Oryctolagus cuniculus: one gene and its partners. The protein of the gene in region 1 purifies or fractionates together with the protein of each later gene. This does not show direct contact. Links are inferred from orthologs where the notes say so. Each region holds a gene or a part of one and is shown in the gene's direction. Other genes may lie near its edges.

Region 1 (4,166 bases):
GGAAAATCAGAGAGGATGAGGGTGCAGGGAAATGGGATATACTTGCATAGAACTCTAAAAAGACACAGACCTTTGGAAGGGCAGTTTGGCTGACGGATCGGATTTTAAAGAGCTTGTCTCCTGCACCCAGTGACATCACTTGTAGACAGACGTCCCCAGAAACACTTGTGCATGCTGCAATGAATGATGCCTGGATCAGCCTGTTCATCGCAGCGTTTCGTAAGAGAAAGTAAAACGACAATAAGAAATGTACTAAAACTTAGCAACAAGGAACCGTTTGACCCTGTAGAAGGATGTGGCAGCTCTAGATATTCTGATAAGGAAGATTATCTGGGACAAACTGCTTAGGGGGAAAAAAGCAAGTAGCAAAATAATGTGCATCATATTCTCATTTCTGTTGGGGGAGAAGCCTCACAATGATATGTGTGTGCATGCACATTGTATAAAAACATGTGGAGGGGCTGGCCCTGTGGGGTAGCAGGTAAAGCTGCCGCCTGTGACCCGCCATCCCACGTGCGTGCCGGTTAGAGTCCCTGCTGCTCCACTTCTGATCCAGCTCCCTCCTAATGGCCCGGGAAAGCAGCAGAGGGTGGCTCGAGGCTTCAGGCCCCTGCACCCTGTGGGAGACCAGGAAGAAGCTCCTGGCTCTTGGCTTTGGCCTGGCCCAACCCTGGCCATTATGGTCTTTTGAGGAGTGAACCAGCAGGTGGAAGACCTCTCTGTCTCCTCCTTTCTCTCTGTAACTATTTCAAATAAATAAATACACGAATCTTTTAAAAATGCATCTAGAAAGGCATGATACATATAAAGTTCTGTGGGGCCTGGTGAGGAGTATAGCAATCTTTGATGACTGAGTGCAAAATTCTTTATAGCAAGAATCTGTTACTGCTCCTATCAGCCTTGTGATAAAGTCATCAATTTCTGCAACACAGTTAGGTTCTGTCCCCTCTCGGCCCCAGTGATCTGGCCATCACCATAGTCCTGAGTCTGTTTTCTGTAAGGAGGGTTTTCCACCGTTTAACCTTATTATTCCCCAAGGCGCTGAGAGAAACGGTGGTTGCTATCCCAGCACCCGCTCTGACTGCAGTGAGCCTTGTGAGTTCCGAAAAGGCTCTACTGGCCGCAAAGCTTTCCAGGATCCTGAGGAACTCCTGAGAAGGGCAAAGAGCACCCCAAAAATCGTTTTAATCGAAAGTAGCCGAAGTTTTCCGGAAAGAGCCGAAGAACTGGGAGCCGAGCACCCCCGCCCCCGGCAGCTCGCCAGCGTCACCGAGGGCTTCCGGAAAGTGCCGAGCAGTGGTGAGGAACGATTTCCCGAGAGTTGCCGAGCGTTTACGGAGATAGCCGAAGGGCTGGGGGCGGAGTCACAGAGCCGTTCGCTGCGGGCACCAAAGGCTCTGACAGGAGCCGAAAGTTGGGAGGCGGAACCATTTTCCCAGGGCGGAAGTGTTGCAGGGGGAGCCGCTAGAGAGGCGGAAGAGCCCGGAGGATTTTCGGAGCGAGCGGAAGCGTCGCCGGCATTTCCGGGGAGGGCGGAAGCGCTGCCATGGCGGCCCCCGACGCTGGTGCCACAGAGAATCACGAAGAGCCCGCGGCGGAGGCGTTGGCCGCGGCCCTGGAGCGGAGCAGCCGCTTCCTGAGCGGCCTGCAGCTGGTGAAGCAGGGCGCCGAGGCGCGCGTGTTCCGCGGCCGCTTCCAGGGCCGGGCGGCCGTGGTGAAGCACCGCTTCCCCAAGGGCTACCGGCACCCGACGCTGGAGGCGCGGCTCGGCCGGCGGCGGACGGTGCAGGAGGCGCGGGCGCTGCTCCGCTGCCGCCGCGCAGGTGAGGCGGCGCGGCCGGGGCCTGGGGGTGCACTGGCGCCTGCCGCCCGGACCCCCGGTCGGGACGCGTCGTCCTCGCGCCCGGTCTCGATGCGCTCCGGGCGAGTTGCTGGCGCGTTTGGGCCCTGACTGTTGCTCGGTGGTGCACGGTTGCTTTGCCGCCTTGGCCTTGGGTTTTCCCGCGTGCGGTGTCAGGGTTTCCGTCACAGCAGCCGGGCTCTCTGGGCTCGCGTCTCGCGCAGCCTCGGCGTCCTTGCCTGCAAGGCGGCAGCGGTGCTGGGGAGCCCGCCTCCGGGGGCGCTGTGAGCGGTCGCCGGCTGTGTTTGAATGTCAGCCTGGCACGTGTTAGACTTCATTCGTTCATTTTTTTCATGAAAGCACCCCTGTGCCCCGCCGCCGGGAACTCCGACCTCAGCCGAGAACCTGGGGCTGGGAGAGCGGCAGCAGCTTTCCCGGGTCACATCCTCCCGACCTCCTGCACACCAGGGCCATGTCGGGGGCTGGGAGGCGCGGGGAAGCTGGGGGAGAGCAGGCGGACAAGTCCCGGGCGTTTCTGCGGTTCCGGAAGCTGCGGGCGTCTGTGTTCACCCCTCTCTGCGCTGCAGGCGCCGTGCAGCGGGGATCGTGGGCTGTAGCCCCGGGAGAGGTCTCCGTTTCTAGAACGTGGCCTCCTTGACTGTGCGCACTGAGGGTGGCGACCCCATGAGTAGCATAAACCGAGGTCGCACCGCTGCTAAGCGCAGGGATCGGACTCCACCCTTACAGACTGCGAAATGAGCCTCCCCGTGGCCACTCTGCCGGGCTCCGTTGTGTCCAGAAACTTCTGTCTGGGCCGGGCCTCCCCTGCTGGCTCCCAGGTTGGTGTGAGAACTAGGGTTCAGCCCCAAGTTGTAGTGTGGGGAAGGAGGAAGCTTTGGCCCCCCTACCCCGGGCTGTTTAATGGTCTCAGGCCTGAGCCCGAGAATGTTCCAGAGTCGAGTTGTGCCGTTTCCTAAAGCTGTTTCCTGAAGTGAGTAAAGACTGGAAGACTCACTTAACTTTGAAAATGAAGCCTTGACTAAGGGAAAAAACCAAGAATGCAACCCAGTAACCCCCCGCGTCTTGATTCCAGGCATCTGTGCCCCAGTGGTCTTTTTCGTGGACTATGCTTCCAACTGCTTGTACATGGAGGAAATCGAAGGCTCAGTCACGGTGCGGGATTATATCCAGTCCACCCTGGACTCTGAAGGAACCCCCCAGAGCCTCTGTGGCTTGGCCAAGGCGATCGGGCAGGTGCTGGCTCGGATGCACGACGAAGACCTCATCCATGGGGACCTCACGACCTCCAACATGCTCCTGAAGCCCCCGGCGGAGCAGCTGAGCATCGTGCTCATCGACTTTGGGCTGAGCTTCGTCTCGGGGCTTCCGGAAGATAAGGGCGTGGACCTGTACGTCCTGGAGAAGGCCTTCCTCAGCACCCACCCGAACACCGAGCCCGTGTTCGAGGCCTTCCTGAAGAGCTACGCCAGCGCCTCCAGGAAGGCCAGGCCAGTGCTCCGAAAGCTGGACGAAGTCCGGCTGCGGGGCAGAAAGCGGTCGATGGTCGGGTAGGACGCGAGGCGGCTCCACAAGGCTAGGCCGATCTTCAGGGTAAATCTGGACTCTACAAACGTGAGACTAGGCCTCAATAAATGTATCGAGCTGTTTTGAAGCCGTGTGTGTGGTCATGCCTGTTGAGTGTCGCCATCTGCAGTGAGTATTCCTAAGAGCTTGCGTGAGGTGCTCCAGGCAGAACTGGGTGTTTGCAGTCAATCCAGGACTGGGCATCAGCTTAGCGGTTGAGACCCCTGTGTCCTGTCTCGGGGTGCCTGGGTGTGGCGCGACCGGCTTCCCACCAGCGCTGATCCTAGGAGGCTGCAGTGATGGCTCGAGTAACCGGCCCCTGCCATCCCTGTGGGAGACCTGGATTGCCTTCCGGGCTCTGGTCCCTGCCTAACCCCGGCCATCGTGGGCGTATGAGAAGTGAACCAGTGCAGGGGAGTGCACTCTCTGCCTTCATCTGTCTGTCTCTTGAGTGAATGATTCACGAGAAAGTCAATCCAGGGCAGGCCTGCCTTTCAGCTTTGGTGTGTAAGCCTCAGGTGCGTAGACATAGCATCGAAAGCAGCCTGTGGCTGGGTGAGCAGAACGTTCGCTGTCGGTGCTGCTGGTGACACATCAGACCGTTGGTGATGAGCTCGTCTTCAGACTCGTGGGATAGAGTCCGACCAGAAGGTAGCAGAGCGCACTGTTTGATGAAAGCTGCTTTGAAAGCTGCTTCGGACGTGTTTCTGTTAAGGGTCATGGCAAAGCACGATACGTGCTC
Region 2 (4,235 bases), on another chromosome or scaffold:
GAGGAAGGATACATTAGTAAGACTGGCAATGGCAATGAAGGAATGGACATTCCAGCAAGTCTTGGTTCATCTTCTACTGCTTTCCCTTTGCCCCTTGTACTTCTCCCACAAGAAAAGAAAGGAGAAAAAAAAGTTACATCCTGGGCATTAAAATGAAAAGACGCTAATGAAGCCCTGAGACCATTCAGCATGAAATCTGAATTCCACTCACATCTAAGCCTTTCTTCTTAATCCAGGCTCGAAGCCCATCCACGTTCCAGGAGCAGATCTTCAGTGTGGCAGCTTTGCCGCTAGGTGAGGTTTTCTGGTCTGGGGGGTCCTCATACAGCACGGGGCCCTCTCCTGCTGACTCTTTTTCATTTTTCTTCGCTGCCGTCTTAGCCTTCTTGGTCTCTGGCTCTATAACGAGAATAATACGTAGGGATAAGAGCTGGAGGTTTCCAACATCGAGTCAGAGTCCAAGGCAAACGCACCGCGACCCTGCGGTTAGCGCGACTTCCTCTCCTGCGCCCGCTATGAGTTGGCCCACAGCTAACATTTCGCCAAGGGACTCAGAAGCAGCCCCCCCAACCCCGCCCACCGCGACTGGCAGGGAGAGGCCGCTTCACTCTCACCCGTCTTGGGCTCCTCCCCGTCTTCTGCCGCGGCCCCCTTCTTCCCTCGCTTTGGCATGCCTGTAACGATCGCCCTTCGGCACCCGAACCACGTCGACCACCGAAGCAGTATCTTCACCGCGATGCCTAAGGATGCAAAGATATACGACTCAGCCGGCGAAGGCTGGGGAGAAAACTCCTGCCCTGGACGGCCCCCGCACTAAGTCCCGCCTTTCAAACCACATAATCTCTGAATCCTGTCCCCGCCTCGGTGCATCAGGCCTTCGGCGCTTCACTCCCCAACTAGATCTATCCATAGAGCGTTTGAATCACCGCGAGATCCGCTCTACGGCCAACGGGAGACCTTTACTAAAGGTCCCGTGAGGCAGCTAGCGGAGGCCCCTCCAACAAGCAAAAACGCAGCGCTGCACCTGACCTGCTCCTGCCCCGCTCCTGCCCCAGCCTGGCTCCTTACCCGAGCACAAAGAAGGGAGCACGCTGGACGCCCACGTGGGTAACTGGCGTGGTCACGTGACCCGAGGCCGCGCGTGATTGGGCCGTCTGCCACCACGTGACGGAGACTCTGACACGCCCCTCTCACTCCGCGGAGGGCTGAAGGTCCCAAGGCTCCGTTCTTGGGCTGTTCACGTTCGTGCCTGATGTACGGCTCCTTCTGCCGCCCTGACCGAAGGAGCCGGCGCCGTGCGAGGGGGCAGAAGCTCAGTGGCAGCGACTGGGCTGGGCCGCAGGAGAGAGGCGGGGGAGTGGACTAGGCAGGGCCGGCGCAGAGGCCGGCTCAGCGCTCCCGGCAGCTCCGGAGACAGGTTCCGGAAGGGGCCTTGTGGGTCGCCGGCGGGCGCAGGCGCAGGCGCGGGCACTGCCCCCGCGGCAGGTTTTGGTGTCCGGGCGCGGTTTACTGTTTACCAACAGCGTGCCGGTACCGCCCGCCGAGGGCTGTCGCGGCTCGGTGTTTGGCGCCTTGGCGTTCTCTCTCAGGCGGCGCCATGCCGACGGTGCTGGGGTTTGAAGGCAGCGCCAACAAGATTGGCGTGGGAGTGGTGCGGGATGGCAAGGTGCTGGCCAACCCGCGGCGGACCTATGTCACGCCTCCGGGCACAGGTGAGTCCTGGACTTAATTTGCGACGACCTTCCCCGCGCACATCACCTATTTCCCTGAACACCAGTGAATGGGGCCCGGGGAATTTTGTCCCATTTTACAGCTCGTTGAGGTTATGTGATGTTATTGTCAGAAGGCGGATGAGTGGAAGAGCCACAGGCGCTTGGACCTGAATCTTCTGGGGTTGTCGAGCTTTCATTGAATGCTTTTTGCGTACCAAGACCTCATAAACTTGTAGAAATCTACCCTGGAGTCTAATGTATAAACGAATTGTAACAGCGTGATGAGTGGTGTAATAGAGATGGACTCAAAATGTTGTAAAATGCGGAGGAGAGACGTGAAGATGGAAGGAATTAGGATTTAGGTACCGGATAGAATTGACTGGTATTGGGATACTCTTGACTTTTTTTTTTTTCACTTTTTAATGTTTGCTTTTTGCTTATTTTTATCTACTGGAAAGGCAGGGTGACAGCCAGCCAGAGAGAACCTCATCTACTGGTCCACTTCCCAAATGCCTGCAGTAGCCAGGGCTGAGTGAGGCAGAAGCCAGGAGCCAATAGCTCCATCCGTGTCTCCCATTTATGGGTTGCAGGGGCTCATACTCTTGGCCATCATCTGCTCCCTGCCAGGGTGCACATCAGCAGGAACTTGGATTGGAAGCCGAGTAGCTAGGCCTTGAGCCTGGGCACTCCCATGGGGAATGTGGGTGTCCCAAGTGCCAGAACACCCACTGTACTTTGTGACTCTTAAAATGGGAGTGGTGGTGCCTTAACATTGTGTCTTGGGGACTAAATGAAAGTACCAGACACTGAACAGCTTCTGTTCCGTATGGTTTATGAGCTATTGTATCTTGCCTACTCTCCCCTCAAACACCTGCACATATAGGAGGGGGCAAATGATTTCCATGTACCAGAGCAGCCTCTGAACAAGTAATGTGACGGGTTGTACGTATTAGAAGTGCTTGTATATCTATGTTTAAGTCTTTCCTATTCTAAGCACTTGGGTACTGGGAGTACAAGAATAAATCAAATAGCCAATGTTTTCAGGTAATTGTAGTTAAACTGTGGAAACCACTGATAATTTTAATGCTATGCTGTAATTGTTAGGTGTAAGATACAGTGATGTGATTATGTGTAGGATTCTGCATGAGGTAGGTATCGGTTGAGTTTGTTTTTTTTTTCAAAGATTTTTTTTTTTTAATTTTAGAGTTATAGGCAGAGAGAGAGAGAGAGAGAGAGAGAGAGGTGTCTCCCATCTGCTGGCTCATTTCCCAAATGGCCACAATGACCAGAGCTGGACCAATCTGAAGGCAGGAGTCAGGAGCTTCTTTTGGGTCTCCCACATGGGTTCAGGGGCCCAAGCATTTGGGCCATCTTCTACTGCTTTCATCAGCAGGGAGCTGGATGGGAAGTGGTGCAGCGGGGACTCGAACTGGTGCCCATATGGGATGCCGGCACTGCAGGTGGACGCTTAACCTACTACGCCACAGTGCCGGCCCCTCACTTGGGTCTTAATGCTGAGTAGGAATTGAGTAGGAAGAAAGGCACTTCTGATACCTGAACAGCTTACGTAGAGGTTAGAATGTGTCTGAAAACCTGGAAGACAGGGTGCTTGAGGAGAATGGAAGGAGTCTTCCTGCATTACTGAAACTCAGGAGGCTTCACTGTCATAGTTTTAAAATTCTACTTGTCTTTGCTGCAGAAAACCCTTATGACCCCTGGCCTGTTCCCATTTTCTAGGATTCCTTCCAGGTGACACTGCCAGGCACCACCGAGCTGTTATCCTAGATCTGCTGCAGGAGGCGCTGAGCGAGGCTGGATTAACCTCCCAGGATATTGACTGCATTGCCTACACCAAGGGTATGACTGGGGGAGGGGTCAGTGTTGGAGGAATGTGGAGCCTGGGTAGGTCAAAATGTCCTCTGCCTTGCCTCTGTCACCACCACAAGCCCTCTCCCGCTTTGACATTCCCTAGTTCCTCACCTGTTTTTTTCCAATCCAGCATTCTGACTACCATTTCTGTCCCCTAGGTCCTGGCATGGGTGCTCCACTAGTTTCTGTGGCTGTCGTGGCTCGTACCGTGGCCCAGCTGTGGAATAAGCCATTGCTAGGCGTGAACCACTGTATAGGCCACATTGAGATGGGCCGTCTCATCACTGGAGCCACCAGCCCAACTGTGCTGTATGTCAGCGGGGGAAACACACAGGTATTTTGAGTACTCCACCTATTTCATCCTACTTTGTGGGCAGTGAACCAGTGACTTCTGTGGCTTACCTGAGTTGTGGGGACTGCCTGTGAAACAGAACTGAACCTAGCTCTTCACCAGAAAACTCACAACAGAGTTCGTAATAGCAGATTTCGACAGGTTATTAAAACTTTAGGTGACTTTTATATATTTGATTATACAAAAAAGATTAGGAATTTCCAATTTAGAAAACAATGATAAGGATTTAAGCTTATATTATTTTGAAGCTTTTTTTTCTGTACATTTTAGCAATTAAAACTAAGGGGCACTACCAATTTATT
Region 3 (4,280 bases), on another chromosome or scaffold:
AGCACGGAGTCTGACAGAATGCAGCCGTCGTTTAGGTCATTCGGTAAACGTTTAGGAAAGAAACAAAGCTGTGTCACCGCGTCTAAGCTCTTAGATCAGCAGCAGTTTTCAAGTTCTCGCGCTTACCAGGTTCTGTCGAATGTGACACTGTTCAAAAATACGCATGTCCTCTTGTCGGGGTTCTGTGGTCGTAAACGAGCCCACACGCAATTGTTCTTTCCGTGGATATATGATAGGAATGAAATTGTCGACTTGGGGCTCATCCGCTTCCCGGGCGCCCGTTCCGTCTCTCCGCAGACGGCTGGCGATCTTCGGCTGCAGAGCAGACCCTGGTAACTCTCACCGAAGCCGGCCGCGGCGGTTACGTTTCGTCCACTCCTTGCACAAACTGTCCCGGTGAAGTGGGACCCCCGACCTCGTAAACCGGCAGCCCGGCACGGCCCCCTTTAAAGAGACAACATATAGTTATGAATACAGCGGTGTAAGAGAGTTGCCAAGGTGGAATAAATCATACCTCTTGGAATCAGTAGGATTTCCACGCTAAGGAGCTTTGGAAAAGGAAACCAGAAACGGGGCAAAATGCGTGCTCTTAGTGATGCAGATACGAAACGTTCTGTTTTATTCTCCTCCTCATCCTCCGCTGAGGCCGTCAGGGAAAGGGTGAAGGGTGGACAGGATTCTGAGAGGAGGAGTGGAAAGGTATTTTAGCCATAACCAAAGGCACTAAAGGAACCCGCAGCACTCATGCCCCAGGCTGTGGACGTTAGGTATCACAAAATCCGTTCTTAATTATGTAATGGAAGTGGAGCCGGTGTTGTGGCACAGTGGTTTTAGCCGCCGATTTGCGTCCTGGCTGTTCCCAGCTTTGACCTGACCCAGCCCTGGCCTAAGCCACCATTTGGGGAGTGAGCCAGCGGATGGAAGAGCTCCCTCTGTGTGTGTGTCTCTCCCTCTCTCTGCAACTCTGCCTTTGAAATAAATCTTTTCTTAAAAAATTACGTATGTAAGTGAGTTGACCAAGGTTACAGTTAGGTAACCTTAGGTAACTGGCAGCAGAACTAAAACTGGAGTCAAAGGTTTAGGATAATAAATTCGTACTTTATTGGAAATAGTGCCATGAAGATTGAAGGATTTTGAGTTGTTTGCTATGCATAGTGACAAGCAGCTGATGTGCCTGCAAGGTGGTTTCCCACGCAGTGATTTTGTTCTTAAGTTATTGCACAAGCACGTTGTCTCCATGTTCCTCCTCTGCATTTGCATGTCGGGTGCAGATCCCACTGCACATAGGCCGGGGCACTCTTGGTTTTGCTCAAAGCCACCTCGCTGATCATGGGCGCCTCAGACCCCTCCTGGTCCGGGCCCGGCAGTGCCTGCACCGCCTTCCGCTGGGAATTGGCCCTTCGCGGCCGCCGTCGCCCGGCGAGCTCCCATCCAATCAGAGCTCCGCGGGAAGGGGCGGAACCCGGAGGCGCGCGGCGCGCGGCTGGCTGTGCCTGCTGCTGTTGCTTTCAGCATGGAGGAGCTGTATGCCAAGTTTGTGTCTGAGAAAATCAGCAAAACCCGCTGGCGGCCGGTGCCTCCGGGGAGCCTGCAGACCGCCGAGACCTTTGCCACGGGCTCTTGGGACAATGAGGTACCCTGGCTCCGGGGCGGGACCCCGGGGCTCCGTCCTCTCCCACGCCCAGGTGCCCTGGAGCGCGCGACTTTCCATCCTCCCCGGCCCCGGGTCCGGGGGCTCGGCTGCAGCCAGCGTGGGTGTGCCCGAGCCCCCGTCTTCTTGTTTCACATTCTGCCCATGCCGTGTGAGATGCTTTGGAGCCCAGGTTGCCTTAAGGCGATACGCATTGGGTTTACTTTCCAGAGTTGACGGTTCTGTCATCTCAAGATGAAGCCGTTTGCTTTACAGGAGAATCACGTTTCACTGTGGTCTATCGGAGATTTCGGAAACCCGGACTCTGATGGAAGCCTGGAAGGAGACCATCGACTGTTGTGCGATATCAAACACCATGGTGACGTCATGGACTTACAGGTAAACGCGTCCAGTGCCCAGAGGCTCGCTTCTAAAGAAAGCCAGAGCAGTGCATTTAGAGTGCAGAGACCTGAGAGCTCTCCTGGCCTCACCCCTAGTTTACAGGAAAGCGAGTTCTCCATAGGTTAGGATTTACCCAACGTAGACTGATCACTTAGTGGCACAACCTCCCAGCTGCAAGCGATTTTTTTATTTTATTATTATTATTTTTTTTTTGACAGGCAAAGTTAGTGAGAGAGACAGGTCTTCCTTCCGTTGGTTCACCCCTCAAATGGCCACCTCGGACGGCGCTGCACCGATCCGAAGCCAGGAGCCAGGTGCCTCCTCCTGGTCTCCCATGCGGGTGCAGGGCCCAAGCACTTGGGCCATCCTCCACTGCCTTTCCGGGCCACAGCAGAGAGCTGGACTGCAAGAGGAGCAACCGGGACAGAATCCGGCGCCCCAGCCGGGACTAGAACCCGGTGTGCCGGCGCCGCAGGCGGAGGATTAGCCTATTGAGCTGCGGTGCCGGCCTGCAAGTGATATTTTTGGAGTTTTACATAAGACCGTTTAATTCTAATTACATGTCTGTGAGTCAGTATTGTTATTTCTATTTTGCCCGTGAGAATGCTAAGAATATTATCTTTCGAGCACACACTGCTAAGGATCTCAAAGTTCATGGAAAATGCATATTATAGATAAACTATGCATGGGCTTTTAAAAATTTTGCACTAGAATGCATTATCTTTTAATTTCATTTTCCATAAACTTCTTGAATTATCCTCATTTGTGACAAATACTGTGCAGGGTAGGTCTTTTAAATTTTTTGATTTCTCATAACCCACCCTGAGTAGGATTAGTACTCCCTGTTTAAAAATACAGATTTTTAAAAATTTACTTATTTGAGAGGTAGAGTTAGAGACAGAGAGAAAGTTCTCGATCTGCTGGTTCACTCCCCAAATGGCTGCAATGGCCATAACTGGGCTGATCTGAAGCCAGGAGCTTCTTCCCAGTCTCCCATGCGGGTGCAGGGGTCCAAGGACTTGGGCCATCCTCTACTGCTTTCTCAGACCATAGCAGAGGGCCGGGTCAGAAGAGGAGCAGCCAGGATGGAAACCAGGGTGCGTGTGAGATGTTGGCCCTGCAGGCGGAAGCTTAGCCTATTGTACCACAGCAGTGGCCTCAGGGAAATTTCTTTTTTAATGTATTTGTTAGAGCTCCCATCAACTGGCTCATTCACCAAAGCCTGCGTCAATCAGGAGCCAAGAGCCAGGAACTCAGTCCAGGTCTCCCATGTGGGTAGCATGGACCCAATTACTTGAGTCATTACCATTGCTTTGCAGGACCTGCGTTAACAGGAAGCTGAAATAAGGAGCCAGAACTGGGTGTTGAACACAGGCATTCTGAACTTGGGCATCTCAACCCAACATCATAGCAAGCCAAATGCCCACCACATTCCAAGGCTTAGAGAATTTAACTTGGCCAACCATTTATTCCTCATGAAAATACCTTTATTTGTATAGCAATGTTAACTTTTAGATCTAACAAATGTTATTTGGGTAGCACTTACAGGCTTTTTACCTTTTACAGTTACGTAATTTGCTATAAATTCAGTTAAACAACGGGTTTCCTCCCTACTAGTTTTTCTGAATCTATAATAAGCAGGAATTTTTCTGTTTAGTTTTTTGACCAGGAAAGAATTGTAGCTGCTTCATCAACAGGATGTGTAACAATTTTCCTTCACCATCCAAATAACCAGGTAAAGAACTTTGGTTTGAAAAGTGAATTTGTATTTTAGTTATTTTTAGAAAGGTGTAAGGAAAACCGTATTTAATAGTTTTAAAGCCTTACGATATGAAGGGGGGGAAAATATCATTACTTTTTGCGAATGTAATTCTAGAACCATGTTTTTGTGAGTTGTTTGTTTGTTTGTTTGTTTGTTTTTGAAAGAGAATTACAGAGAAAGGAGGGGAAAGACAGAAACAGAAAGGTCTTCCTTCCACTGGTTCATTTCTCAGTGGCTGCATCAGCCAGGGGTGGGCCAGACCAAAGCCAGAAGTCAGGAGTTTCTTCCAGGTCTCCTGCTTGGGTGCAGGGGCTCAAGCACTTGGGCCATCCTCTACTGCTTTCCCAGGCCATTAGCAGGGAGCTAAATGGGAAGTGAAGCAGCCAGGACTTGAACCATTGCCCATATGAGATGCCGGCATTGTAGGTGGTGGCTTTACCTGCTACGCCACAGCGCCAGCCCTGTGAGCTGTTATTGAAATTGGGT
Region 4 (3,311 bases), on another chromosome or scaffold:
GTGAGAGAGTCGTCAGCAAGGCGTAACACTAGGCAGGGCACGTGTCGGAACTGGGCACCTGAGCGAGTGTCCAGTCATTCAGAATGGGGAGGGCAAGGTTCAGCGGCTAGAACTTTCCTGATGGGCCAAGCGCCAAAGAACCAAGAGCTGAGCTGAGAGCCCAGTCCGCACTGAGACCGGGCCTTCTGAGGGACTGGGGTCCAGTTCTTCCCTGTTTCTCTTCCCCGCAAGGGCTTTGCTGGGTGTGAAATGGGTGAAATCCCTCCCAAAGTTTTATTACCCAGTTATCAGACTGAGCAGCCTGCTTAGCGCCAGACAGAGGGTTCTCCTGGGGTGCCTTTTTGGGAGGCAAGGCTGGGGCCACCAATAAAGTGACGGGGGTGGACAGGGCTTTGTCGTGTAAAAAAATACAGGACTGCTGCCCAAGTGCACGTCCCAGGCTGCTACATTGCTTTCCACCAGGGCTTTGTTTTCCTTAGGCCCTCTTCACACACACAGCTAATCTCTCCCTTGCTACCTAACAGCCTCACACACAGTCTGAGATCGATCTTGTTACCTAACAGAACGAACTGATACAATGGAACTACGATACATTTGGCAAACTTCAGCGACGGAAAAAAAATCTAGAGCCAAGGTGGCGTTGTAGTTTACCAGGTAAGGCTGTAGCCAGCAACGCTATGAAATGGTTGCTCCTCTTCCAATCCAGCTCTCTGCTGTGGCCTGGGAAAGCAGTAGAAGATGGCCCCGGTCCTTGGGCCCCTGCACCTGTGTGGGACACCCTGAAGAAGCTCCTGACTTTGGATTGGCGCAGCTCTGGCAGTTGCGGGCAACTGGTGAACCAGTGGATGGAAGACCTCTTTCTCTTTCAAATAAATCTATTTAAAATTTATTTATTTGAAAGATAGGGTTAGACAGTGAGAGAAAGAGACAGAGAGAAGGTCTCCCCAAATGGCCGCTACGGCTGGCGCTGCGCCGATCCGAAGCCAGGAGCCAGGTGCCTCTCCTGGTCTCCCATGCGGGTGCAGGCACCCAAGCACTTGGGCCATCCTCCACTGCACTCCCGGCCACAGCAGAGAGCTGGAGAGAAGAGGAGCAACCGGGACTAGAACCCAGCGCCCGTATGGGATGCCGGCGCCGCAGGCGGAGGATTAACCAAGTGAGCCACAGCGCCGGCCCCAAAATAAATAAATCTTAAAAAAAATATATATTGCAGCTCAGTTTCTCCAGGGCCTGTGGGTACCAGCAGCGCTGTGTTGTCGGGAACCGACCACGCATCTGCCTGCTTCACTGGAGGTATGTTCTGGCTAGCGCACTAGCATCGAATCACGAATGCAGTGTTTCTGAAGCTGCCAGGGTCTCCAAGAGCCCCCACGTTGGGCCACTATCGCGGGAACTCACGAGGCGTCCCAACAGCCTCGTCAAAGGTGTGTTTGCGCAGGCGCGCGTGGACGTGGTCGTGCGCGAGGGGCGGAGCTTCAGGAGGGCGGGCAATCTACGAAGCTCCTGGAGATGGCGGGCCGTGGCGCAGCGCCCTGAGGGTGGGGTTGAGGGCGGGGCAGCGGCAGCCATGCAGGCTGCGGACGCAGGCGCAGGCGGCGTGGCGGGCGGCGCTCACACCCAGCGTGGACGGCGTGGCCGCGACTTTCCCGATGGTACCGACACAGAAGCAGCTGCAGCCCGTGGAACTCGAGAAGTCGCGCAGGCACCGCACGCTGCCGTTCCGGGCGGAGACGCCGCGACAGCAGCCGCAAGCCCGGGAATGCGACCACACTCCTTGTATCCTGCGGGAGGGGCACAGTGGGGGAAGGGGGTGGAGGCTGCCCGTGGTGGGGGCAGGGTAGCCTGGAACAGAAGGTGGGAAGGGCGAGTGGGAGGACCGGTAGCACAGAAAGAAGAGCAGGGTAATCGGAGCCGCCCGGATGGCTGTGGGATTAAAGCGTTAGCCAGTGGGGGGCGCCCGAGAGAGGTCATGGAAGCCGTCAGAAGAGCCAGGGAAACAGACTCGGGCAAAGTCGCTTCCGATGGTGCCTTTACCAAACCTCCACCAGTACCCTCAGTGTGCCTTTTCCCACCCGTCTGGAGGCAGAAATCGCCTGTGAGTCCCTGGCTCCAGATGCTGAGCCTCACCCAGAAGCGATTGGAAAGGACCTCGCAGTGACCGGCACCGTCCTGGCGGTGTAAATGCTTCCGGGGGCCGGGGGTGGGGTGGCAGGAGTGGGGGAGCGGGAGGCGGTGAGGGGAAGGCAACAGGGGATGTGGCCATTCTCCACTGAGAGGTAGGCTGGGAGGCCTGGAGGCACTCCGGGGGAAGTCTAAGGAGCAGGTCTGGGACGCTGCCCGAGAGGCCCTGTAATACCGGGGCTTCCAGGATCTGCTGCACTGGATGCCTGAGGGGTAGAGCAAGGGATGTGGGCAGCTACTGTCCCCGACTTGATTTTCTTGTTCCTTCCCTTTTAGCCGCTGGACAGCTAAAGATCCTCGCCTCCTCCGAGTTTCCATCATCAGCTTTCTTGAGCAGCTTTCCCTGGTGGTGCGCACCCTGCAGCGCTTCGGGCCTCCCGTTGCCCGCTAAGACTGGACTGGGTAAAGGGGCCCAGTTGTTACCTTGCTCGCCTCCTAGAAAATGTGTCTCCCTAGGGCGATCATGCCCGAAGCAGGATGGGGCCTAATGGCTTGCCTGCATTGGGTTCTGGGTGCTCAAGATCTGTTTGTTTTCACCAGTGCTTAAATGTTTGCTACCACAGAAAATAAAACTGACCTCTTCCCAGTTTCATATCCTTTTCACATACAAATATCCTTGCCATTGTCCTGGAGTTGCAGTGGAAGAAACGAGATTCACATGTTTAAGAAATGCAAGTTGGGGGCCGGCGCCGCGGCTCACTAGGCTAATCCTCAGCCTTGCGGCACCGGCACACCGGGTTCTAGTCCCGGTCGGGGCGCCGGATTCTGTCCTGGTTGCCCCTCTTCCAGGCCAGCTCTCTGCTGTGGCCAGGGAGTGCAGTGGAGGATGGCCCAAGTGCTTGGGCCCTGCACCCCATGGGAGACCAGGAGAAGCACCTGGCTCCTGCCATCGGATCAGCATGGTGCACCGGCCGCGGCGGCCATTGGAGGGTGAACCAACGGCAAAGGAAGACCTTTCTCTCTGTTTCTCTCTCTCACTGTCCACTCTGCCTGTCAAAAAATAAAAATAAATAAAAAAAAATGCAAGTTGGGGCTGGTGTTGAGGGACAGTGGGTTAAGCTGCCACCTACGTTGCTGGCATCCCGTATAAGTACCAGTTTGAGTCCCAGCTGCTCTACTTCCCATCCACC

Evidence for each region.
Region 2: the proteins of TP53RK (region 1) and OSGEP purify together in Homo sapiens (affinity purification with mass spectrometry; 5 studies listed by BioGRID and IntAct, counting the BioPlex papers as one, with this or other methods). This does not show direct contact. The link is inferred for Oryctolagus cuniculus from reciprocal best matches to the Homo sapiens genes TP53RK and OSGEP.
Region 3: the proteins of TP53RK (region 1) and NUP43 purify together in Homo sapiens (affinity purification with mass spectrometry; 3 studies listed by BioGRID and IntAct, counting the BioPlex papers as one, with this or other methods). This does not show direct contact. The link is inferred for Oryctolagus cuniculus from reciprocal best matches to the Homo sapiens genes TP53RK and NUP43.
Region 4: the proteins of TP53RK (region 1) and LAGE3 purify together in Homo sapiens (affinity purification with mass spectrometry; 5 studies listed by BioGRID and IntAct, with this or other methods). This does not show direct contact. The link is inferred for Oryctolagus cuniculus from reciprocal best matches to the Homo sapiens genes TP53RK and LAGE3.

Annotation. Positions count from the first base shown.
Region 1 is NC_091442.1:12,878,693-12,882,858, forward strand, and holds TP53RK (EKC/KEOPS complex subunit TP53RK), read left to right. Parts: upstream 1-1,494; 5' UTR 1,495-1,546; coding exon 1,547-1,823; intron 1,824-2,933; coding exon 2,934-3,412; 3' UTR 3,413-3,512; downstream 3,513-4,166.
Region 2 is NC_091443.1:54,296,087-54,300,321, forward strand, and holds the start of OSGEP (tRNA N6-adenosine threonylcarbamoyltransferase), read left to right. Parts: upstream 1-1,397; 5' UTR 1,398-1,597; coding exon 1,598-1,712; intron 1,713-3,449; coding exon 3,450-3,569; intron 3,570-3,739; coding exon 3,740-3,915; intron 3,916-4,235. Other genes in the region: DNA repair nuclease/redox regulator APEX1, read right to left, coding at 212-399, 615-672. UniProt on the Homo sapiens protein: Component of the EKC/KEOPS complex that is required for the formation of a threonylcarbamoyl group on adenosine at position 37 (t(6)A37) in tRNAs that read codons beginning with adenine.
Region 3 is NC_091436.1:18,268,068-18,272,347, forward strand, and holds the start of NUP43 (nucleoporin Nup43), read left to right. Parts: upstream 1-1,442; 5' UTR 1,443-1,513; coding exon 1,514-1,633; intron 1,634-1,906; coding exon 1,907-2,029; intron 2,030-3,689; coding exon 3,690-3,767; intron 3,768-4,280. UniProt on the Homo sapiens protein: Component of the Nup107-160 subcomplex of the nuclear pore complex (NPC). The Nup107-160 subcomplex is required for the assembly of a functional NPC.
Region 4 is NC_091453.1:132,705,573-132,708,883, reverse strand, and holds LAGE3 (EKC/KEOPS complex subunit LAGE3), read left to right. Parts: upstream 1-1,480; 5' UTR 1,481-1,567; coding exon 1,568-1,776; intron 1,777-2,048; coding exon 2,049-2,177; intron 2,178-2,457; coding exon 2,458-2,572; 3' UTR 2,573-2,773; downstream 2,774-3,311. UniProt on the Homo sapiens protein: Component of the EKC/KEOPS complex that is required for the formation of a threonylcarbamoyl group on adenosine at position 37 (t(6)A37) in tRNAs that read codons beginning with adenine.